Callithrix jacchus: one gene and its partner. The protein of the gene in region 2 binds, or shares a complex with, the protein of the main gene of each other region. Links are inferred from orthologs where the notes say so. Each region holds a gene or a part of one and is shown on either strand. Other genes may lie near its edges.

Region 1 (3,655 bases), on a different chromosome or scaffold from region 2:
ATTTTCCAGAAAGTTTTTGAAGACCCCTTATATACTTTGCTGCAAAGTCATCTGGAGCATTGGGACATCTATACATTTTAATCTTTTCCTTGATTCTCAGGTCAAATTTGGGACATGGCCAGGCATGGTGGCACATGCCTGTAATCCTAGCACTTTGAGAGGCGGAAGCGGGCAGATCGCCTGAGCTCAGGAGTTTAAGATCAGTCTGGGCAACATGGCAAAACTTCATCTCTACTAAAAATATAAAGAATTAGCTGGGAGTGGTGATGCATGCCTGTAATCCCAGCTGCTTGGGATGCTGAGGCACAAGAATCACTTGAACCCAGAAGGTGGAGGTTGCAGTGAGTGGAAATCATGCCACTGCATTCCAGCCTAGGGGACACAGCAAGACGGTCTCAAAAAAAAAAAAAAAAAAAAAAAATTGGGGGGCACATTTTAGTGTTAGATTTTCAGACTGTGTGTTTCTCAAAAGGGATAGTTCTTTTATTTAATTTTCTTTGTAGAGACGAGGTCTTGCTGTGTTGCCTTGGCTGGTCTTGAACTCCCACCTTGGCTCACAAAGTGCTAAAATGGGATTATAAGCATGAGCCACCACGCCTGATCTAGGATAGTCCCTTTAAGCTGTGTTTTTCAAACTAATGTATGCACATACCAGAAGATGCATGGCCAGAGGAAACACAAAGCCTGAGACAGAATGCAAAATTCTCATGACTTTTAAAAAACGTCTCTAGAAGGCTTTTAAAAAAATTTCTTGGCCAGTCATGGTGGCTCACACCTGTAATCCCAGCACTTTGGGAGGCCAAAGAGGGCAGGCTGCTTGAGCTCAGGAGTTCAAAACCAGCCTGGGCAAAACGGGAAATCCTCGTACCTACAAAAAATATAAAAATTAGCTGGGTATAGTAGTACATGCCTATTGTAGTAGCTAGTTGGGAGGCAGAGATAGGAGGATGGCTTGAACCTGGGAGGTGGAGGCTGCAGTAAGCCAAGATCGTGCTACTGCACTCCAGCCTGGGTGACAGGGCAAGACCCTGTCTCAAGGAAAAAAAAATTCTTTCTCTCAAAAAAATGCAAATATTAAAAAATCTAAAAACACTTCTGGTTCCAAGCATTTCAGATAAGGGACACTACTAGAAAGTTTTAAGGGGAATGTTAAAGTTAGTATTCATGGAAATATACACAGCTAATAGAGTAATCAAAATACCAGGTGTGTAAAATAAAGAGCTCACAGAGAAGAGGGGTACCGCCTGCCGAGTGCACTGTAAGAGCCTGTCCACACAGTCAGGATCCGAGGGATTGAAGGTCTGTTCTAAGTCAGCCTGTTCGGCCACCAACTCTACAAGTTGCTGTCTTCCACTCACTGTCTGTAAGCTTTTTAACCCAGACAGTATCTTCATGAATAGAACAAATTCTTCACCAGTCACATCTTCTAGGACCTGGAAAAGAGACAATTCAGAATAAGAGTATATTTATTATTTGAATGGGAAAGATCAACACTGAAAAAGAATAGCTAATTTATTTCAGTTACTAATGTCAGTTTGATATTAATGCTTCGAAAATACTGATGAAAAGGCAACTTCTAGCCTCGGTCAGTTGAGCTTCAGAGTAAACCAGGCATTCTCCAAGGGGGCAAAAATTCGTTCTTAGAAAATGTTACCTTTTTTATGTGCAAAAGCACAGATATACATACAGGACCATAAACAGATATACAGTATACACTTGGGATTAAAAGTTCATGGGAGAGCAGCTAAGAAAACAGTATCTTTAAAAATTTTTTTAGGGCCGGGCATGGTGGCTCAAGCCTGTAATCCCAGCACTTCAGGAGGCTGAGGCGGGTGGTTCACGAGGTCAAGAGATCGAGACCATCCTGGTCAACATGGTGAAACCCTGTCTCTACTAAAAATACAAAAAATTAGCTGGGCATGGTGGCGCGTGCCTGTAATCCCAGCTACTCAGGAGGCTGAGGCGGGAGAATTACTTGAACCCAGGAGGCGAAGATTGCGGTGAGCCGAGATTGCACCATTGCACTCCAGCCTGGGTAACAAGACCAAAACTCCGTCTCAAAAAAAAAAAAAAAAAAAAAAAAAATTTCTTTAAAAGGCTATTTAGGGGAGTGATTTTAAAAAATGGTTGAAAAATTCTGTAACAGACTGTTGAATCAGATTGTTAATCATATTTAAAAGTAGTCTAATTCATATTAGTATAGTAATTGTTGTACACAAAACAGGACACCTTGCAGGTCTCATATCAAATCTTCCATATCTGTGGGTCTAAATCTTTGTATTCATAGACCAAAGGAGCTCACAGTTATGACATACTCTACCAGATTACCAGCTGGGACATAGGTAAAACAGTCTGATATTCCCAGCTACAGAGCTATTTCTGTCTAACTGAAAAATAATTTTATCAATAAGGAAGCAGCAGTAGTAGTCTGAAATTTCTACAGCCTGAACCATAAGATTTGTCACATGCTTTAGAGAAACCATGAATCTTCTTGAACATATTAAAAAAGTAAACTATTCCCAAACTTGGCACATTGAGTAAAAAGTTAACTGTGACGCACCTTGCCAATCTCAGCATCTACAACTATGCTAGATGCTGGGAGCATAGACAAGCATGGTCATCTCACCATTGAAGAGAGGATAGTGCCATGGGCTAAGGTGAAAATGTCATTTGATGTGATAATATATTTCATTTTGAAATAGTTTAGAATACTATGAGAGAATATCCTGAAATGGAAGGGAGAGGTGGGACTTAAGGAGTTTCCTGAAGGAGGTCATTTGCAGAGTACTGAAAGTTGCATACATTTTAAGGACACTATCACAAAAGGTTTAAATGTAATCAGACTCCTTTAAATTACCAAATTGGTTCATCATTACCTGACAAAAGTGCTGAATGTAGGGTTTAGCCCCACTAGGGTTGTGGGGTGTTTCTTATTGCTTTGCTGAAGCGCTGGATCCGAGAAATAGAGACAGGACACCAAAGAACTGAAAAACAGCAGCTGAGCTGGGGGGCCAACGCCACTTGTAAGTGGAGACAGGCAAGGCTTTGAGTGTTTAGGTGCGTCTGTACTTATTAGGTACAGGACGGGGCGAGGGTAGTGAGTGAGGTTATTTTAAGGATAGTGACAGCGTTAAGACACTTACATGAGTGATAAGCAAAAGGCCTATCCCCATAAGGTCACCGAGGCAAGGAGGTGGGCAGTGGGCAGCAAGGGGTTTACTTCTATTAGGTTACCGAGGCAAGGAGGTGGGCAGTGGGCAGCAAGGGGTTTACTTCTATTAGGTTACCGAGGCAAGGAGGTGGGCAGTGGGCAGTAAGGAGGTAGGCAGTGGGCAGTAAGGAGGGTGCAGTGTGCAACATTTTTTATTTAGGGGCAGGCTACTTTTAAGGATTTTTGTAGGAGGATGTTTTAAGTTAGCCCAGTAGCAAGAGAGCCGACAGGGTTTAGAGCCACCATGGCACAACTATACTGGAGGGGTTTTAAGCCCTCCGACGCTCGTGGGATTGCTGACCTGAGGCCAGCTTTCCACAATAACTAGATGCAAGATAGTACAACTCTTTTATAGGAGGAGTGACTTTTGGTTTAAGCTTGCCATACAGTGGGTATTTTTACAATACTGAACACTGCCACTTGGGCCAGCCTGCCATGTAGTGC
Region 2 (3,655 bases):
GGAGGAAGACAGCTTTATAAAGGGCTTCTCCTAAATGCCTTGGGAAAGAATGACAGCATCACAAAATTAGAGAAAGTACAGTTAGGGGGTCTCTCTAGATGTACAGAAAAGCAGCCACAAAAATATGTTAATGGCAATAAAAACCCCGCCACAGAAATTTGCATTTAATTGAAAAATCAACCGTATATGAAAATCTTTGTTGAATTATAAAATTATTTATATTCCAAGTTTTTGAAAACTTCTGATGAAACACCTACAGCATTTTGGTGTTGAAGGAATGAATCTAAGTTCTTTGGAATCTTATCTCAAGAAACAAGGGAACTGCACCAGTGCAATGTTTTCTTTTCAATCTATATTTTTACCTTTTGGGAAACAGAGCAGCAAGAAGTTAAAAAGAGTTGACCCCAAAAATGTACAGGTGGATAAGCCTCCAAGTAGCAGCCAAAGAAATATTCAGCATTTCAAAAGCTTCTTAAATGTACAGTGATAAGAAAATATTTTGGTGTTCTTGATGTCCACAAGGCAAAGAATTTGTATTGGAAACTTTACTATGTTAGGGTAATGTTTTGAGCCTTTAGATAATGCTACTTTAACTGAAATGAAAATCTTTGATAATACAGTTTCTAAAACTGTAATCCTTATTGATTTGTACATCTCTTTTTTATGTAGGAGTCACAGCAGTTAGAGAAGTTTTTGAAGAGACTGGTATAAAATCAGAATTCAGGTCCCTCCTGAGTATTCGGCAACAGCACGCAAATCCTGGAGCTTTTGGGAAGTCAGATATGTATATCATCTGCCGCCTAAAGCCATACTCATTCACAATAAATTTTTGCCAGCATGAATGCTTAAGATGTGAGTGGATGGATCTCAATGACCTGGCCAAGACTGAAAATACAACTCCTATCACCAGCAGAGTTGCTAGGCTGCTGCTGTATGGGTACAGAGAAGGGTTTGACAAAATTGACCTGACTGTGGAAGAACTTCCAGCAGTGCACACAGGCCTGTTTTATAAACTCTATCACAAGGAACTGCCAGAGAATTATAAAACTATGACAGGAATTGATTAAATTCACATTTATATGTTTAGAAACATGTAAACTAACAAATAAGAAATAGTGGACGTTTGGGATTAAATATCTGACTGTAATTTTCTAATAGATATGATTTCCATGAAGAAATTTTGTTTCTAAATGTACACATTTTAAAATCCTCTTTTCAAATAAAGCAAATGCATGAAAAAGATCATTGCTCTAGGTAAGCTTCACTGGGTAACAGCAGATGCTATATGAAAGGGGGAAGTCTATATATTTTTAAACAATTTTTGTTAGTTTGCTTCACTGGGACAATGGTTACATATTTTACTACTGGATAAAACGTTGTTTGACCAGTTATCTAAACTGAGCTGTACACGTTCATTTTCTTTTTCTCTCATTAACAAATTTCTAAAATATACTTCTTTCATGTGAAATGAGATTAGATGTGGCCATTAAGATCAGCTCTTAGCAGACATTGGAAGAAAAAGTATAGCTTTCTGCCCAGGTCCTGTTTTGGATCCAAGTTTATACTGCCCAGTTCGTTTCAGTGCCACATACCAACTGGTGTATTTCCTTGATCGGTAAGTATTGTAGTTATTAGATTCCAATCGTTCAAAAAAGAAACACTCATCCGTAACACATTTCTGAAAAAAAAAAAGGAAGAATTATTATTATTACACTTTTCATCTTAAATATTTATGATAGTACAATGGCCAGTCTGCTCAACCAGCAGCAGTGGTATTAGGTTCAGCAGGAAAATCAAACTAACAAGATTCAATGGGCCAAAATATATATGACACAGAGTAGCTCTGAAGAAGGATGCAGACCAGGAATACAGCATGTCAGCAGGACAGCACCAACTATGTCTCTTCAGTAGGAGTTCAGAGACCATTCTCCAGCTCCAAAACAGGTCAGGTGTTAAGCACAAGGAAGGACATACCTAGTAAGAAGAAGCACACTATGGGAAGCCCAAAGCTATAGCTTCCAGCTGTATTTATGATCCATCCACATCCCTCCTAGTTCCAAGGCAGATTAACAATCAGCGGTCATTTTTACTTTTATCAGGGGTACAGTGAAGCTGTAGTAGTAGAAGGCTAACCTAGTGTAATCTTTCCATACCGAAGAAGGAGGTTTGTTAATACTTGACTCACAAACAGAATTAATCCCCCAATTTTTAACTACAATTTTTAAGTGGCTAATGTTGTTTTAAGGCATAAGAAGGAATAGTTTATTGTACAGAAAATAGCTAGTGGTATATAATGCCAAAAAATAATATTGGAACATTATATTTCATATGATGAACAATCTCCAAACACTGTTAGACAATGAGAAATAAGTAATGATCATGTTGATTTCTGGCAGTCTCCTTCTTGAGGGATAGACTTTGTCTTTTAATTTCAATCCAACTATTTATTAGAAAAAAAGGATAGCTGGCTTTCAAATAGACCTGGAAATAATACTCCAAATAATGGAATCTAATAACTACCACATTATTTAAGATACATGTTCAAAAAGCAACTTCACAGGGTAGCACTGATGATAACTCTAGGGGGAAAAATCAATTTATTCACTTCAAAATAAAAAAAATCATTTTTATAATTAATGGTTTTGTGTGTGTGTGTATAAACAAATTTACATGTGTTTCCTATATAAGTTTATAATTCTATATGTAGAGAGAGAATTATAAACATATAGAAAACACATGTAAATTTTATCTAAACACATAAGATGTATACAGAGGTATATAAATATATGGTTTTATATTAATACCACATTCTGGGCTGGGCACAGTGGCTCACACCTGTAATCCCAGCACTTTGAGAGGCTGAGGCAGGTAGATCATGAGGTCAGACGTTCAAGAACATCCTGGCCAATGTGGTGAAACCCTGTCACTACTAAAAATACAAAAAATTAGCCAGGTGTGGTGGTGGGTACGTGTAATCCCTGTTATTTAGAAGGCTGAAGAAGGAGAATTGCTTGAACCTGGGAGGTGGAGGTAGTAGTGAGTCGATCATGCCACTGCAGCCCAGGTGACAGTGCGAGACTCCATCTAAAAAAAAATACCACTTCCAGTTTATTTCTATATGCTCATATTTAGAAGATTTCAAGTTTGGAAAAACCCACATTAAAAAGACTTGAACCCTTTCCCAGATTCCTTGGTTCTAAGATAAGGCAAACAATGGCACAAATTGTGACAAAAACAAACTGACAAAACAAGGAAAAGAGCTGGCATAACAAAAATGAAGTAAAGCCTGGGAAAGAACTAAAAGTGACGAATTTGTCTCAGCCATCTAAAGTAAGGGTATGATATTAGATCCTGTAATCTTATAAGAATTTTACTGGATATTTACTTGGTTTTAATATCTTGACCACTGTTAATTGGATTTCTAAAAACTGAAATACAAACTTAACTAATTTGCTCATTATGTAATATGTTACTAATAAACTCAATTCTTTATGATGCAAATAAATCACAGCTTACAAAGAAGCACACATTGACAGGACCCAGCTATATGATACATAGGAGTGTCTTGTGCTGTTCACAAAGATTCAAATGTGGTTAAGAGTGAAACACCTAAACCTGGAATAATATAGACCAACATATTCCAAATCCAATACTT

What was found. Proteins that work in one complex are often made in the same cells at the same time.
Region 1: the proteins of FGF2 (region 2) and API5 are in contact, whole or in part, in a crystal structure (PDB 6L4O), measured with the Homo sapiens proteins. The link is inferred for Callithrix jacchus from reciprocal best matches to the Homo sapiens genes FGF2 and API5. Residues at the interface, in NP_001997.5 of Homo sapiens: Asn169, Arg181, Arg223, Lys261, Arg262, Thr263, Gln265, Lys267, Lys271, Lys277, Ala278; in NP_001136402.1 of Homo sapiens: Asp145, Arg148, Glu184, Asp185, Val186, Thr187, Glu190, Glu219, Asp222, Gln225, Asn228, Asp231, Arg237.

What each region holds. Positions count from the first base shown.
Region 1 is NC_133511.1:108,379,367-108,383,021, reverse strand, and holds part of API5 (apoptosis inhibitor 5), read right to left. Parts: intron 1,434-3,655; coding exon 1,227-1,433; intron 1-1,226. UniProt on the Homo sapiens protein: Antiapoptotic factor that may have a role in protein assembly. Negatively regulates ACIN1. By binding to ACIN1, it suppresses ACIN1 cleavage from CASP3 and ACIN1-mediated DNA fragmentation. Also known to efficiently suppress E2F1-induced apoptosis.
Region 2 is NC_133504.1:74,737,818-74,741,472, forward strand, and holds part of FGF2 (fibroblast growth factor 2), read right to left. Parts: intron 1,679-3,655; coding exon 1,493-1,678; 3' UTR 1,068-1,492; coding exon of another isoform or gene 670-1,067; 3' UTR 1-669. Other genes in the region: NUDT6 (nucleoside diphosphate-linked moiety X motif 6), read left to right, coding at 670-1,067. UniProt on the Homo sapiens protein: Acts as a ligand for FGFR1, FGFR2, FGFR3 and FGFR4. Also acts as an integrin ligand which is required for FGF2 signaling. Binds to integrin ITGAV:ITGB3.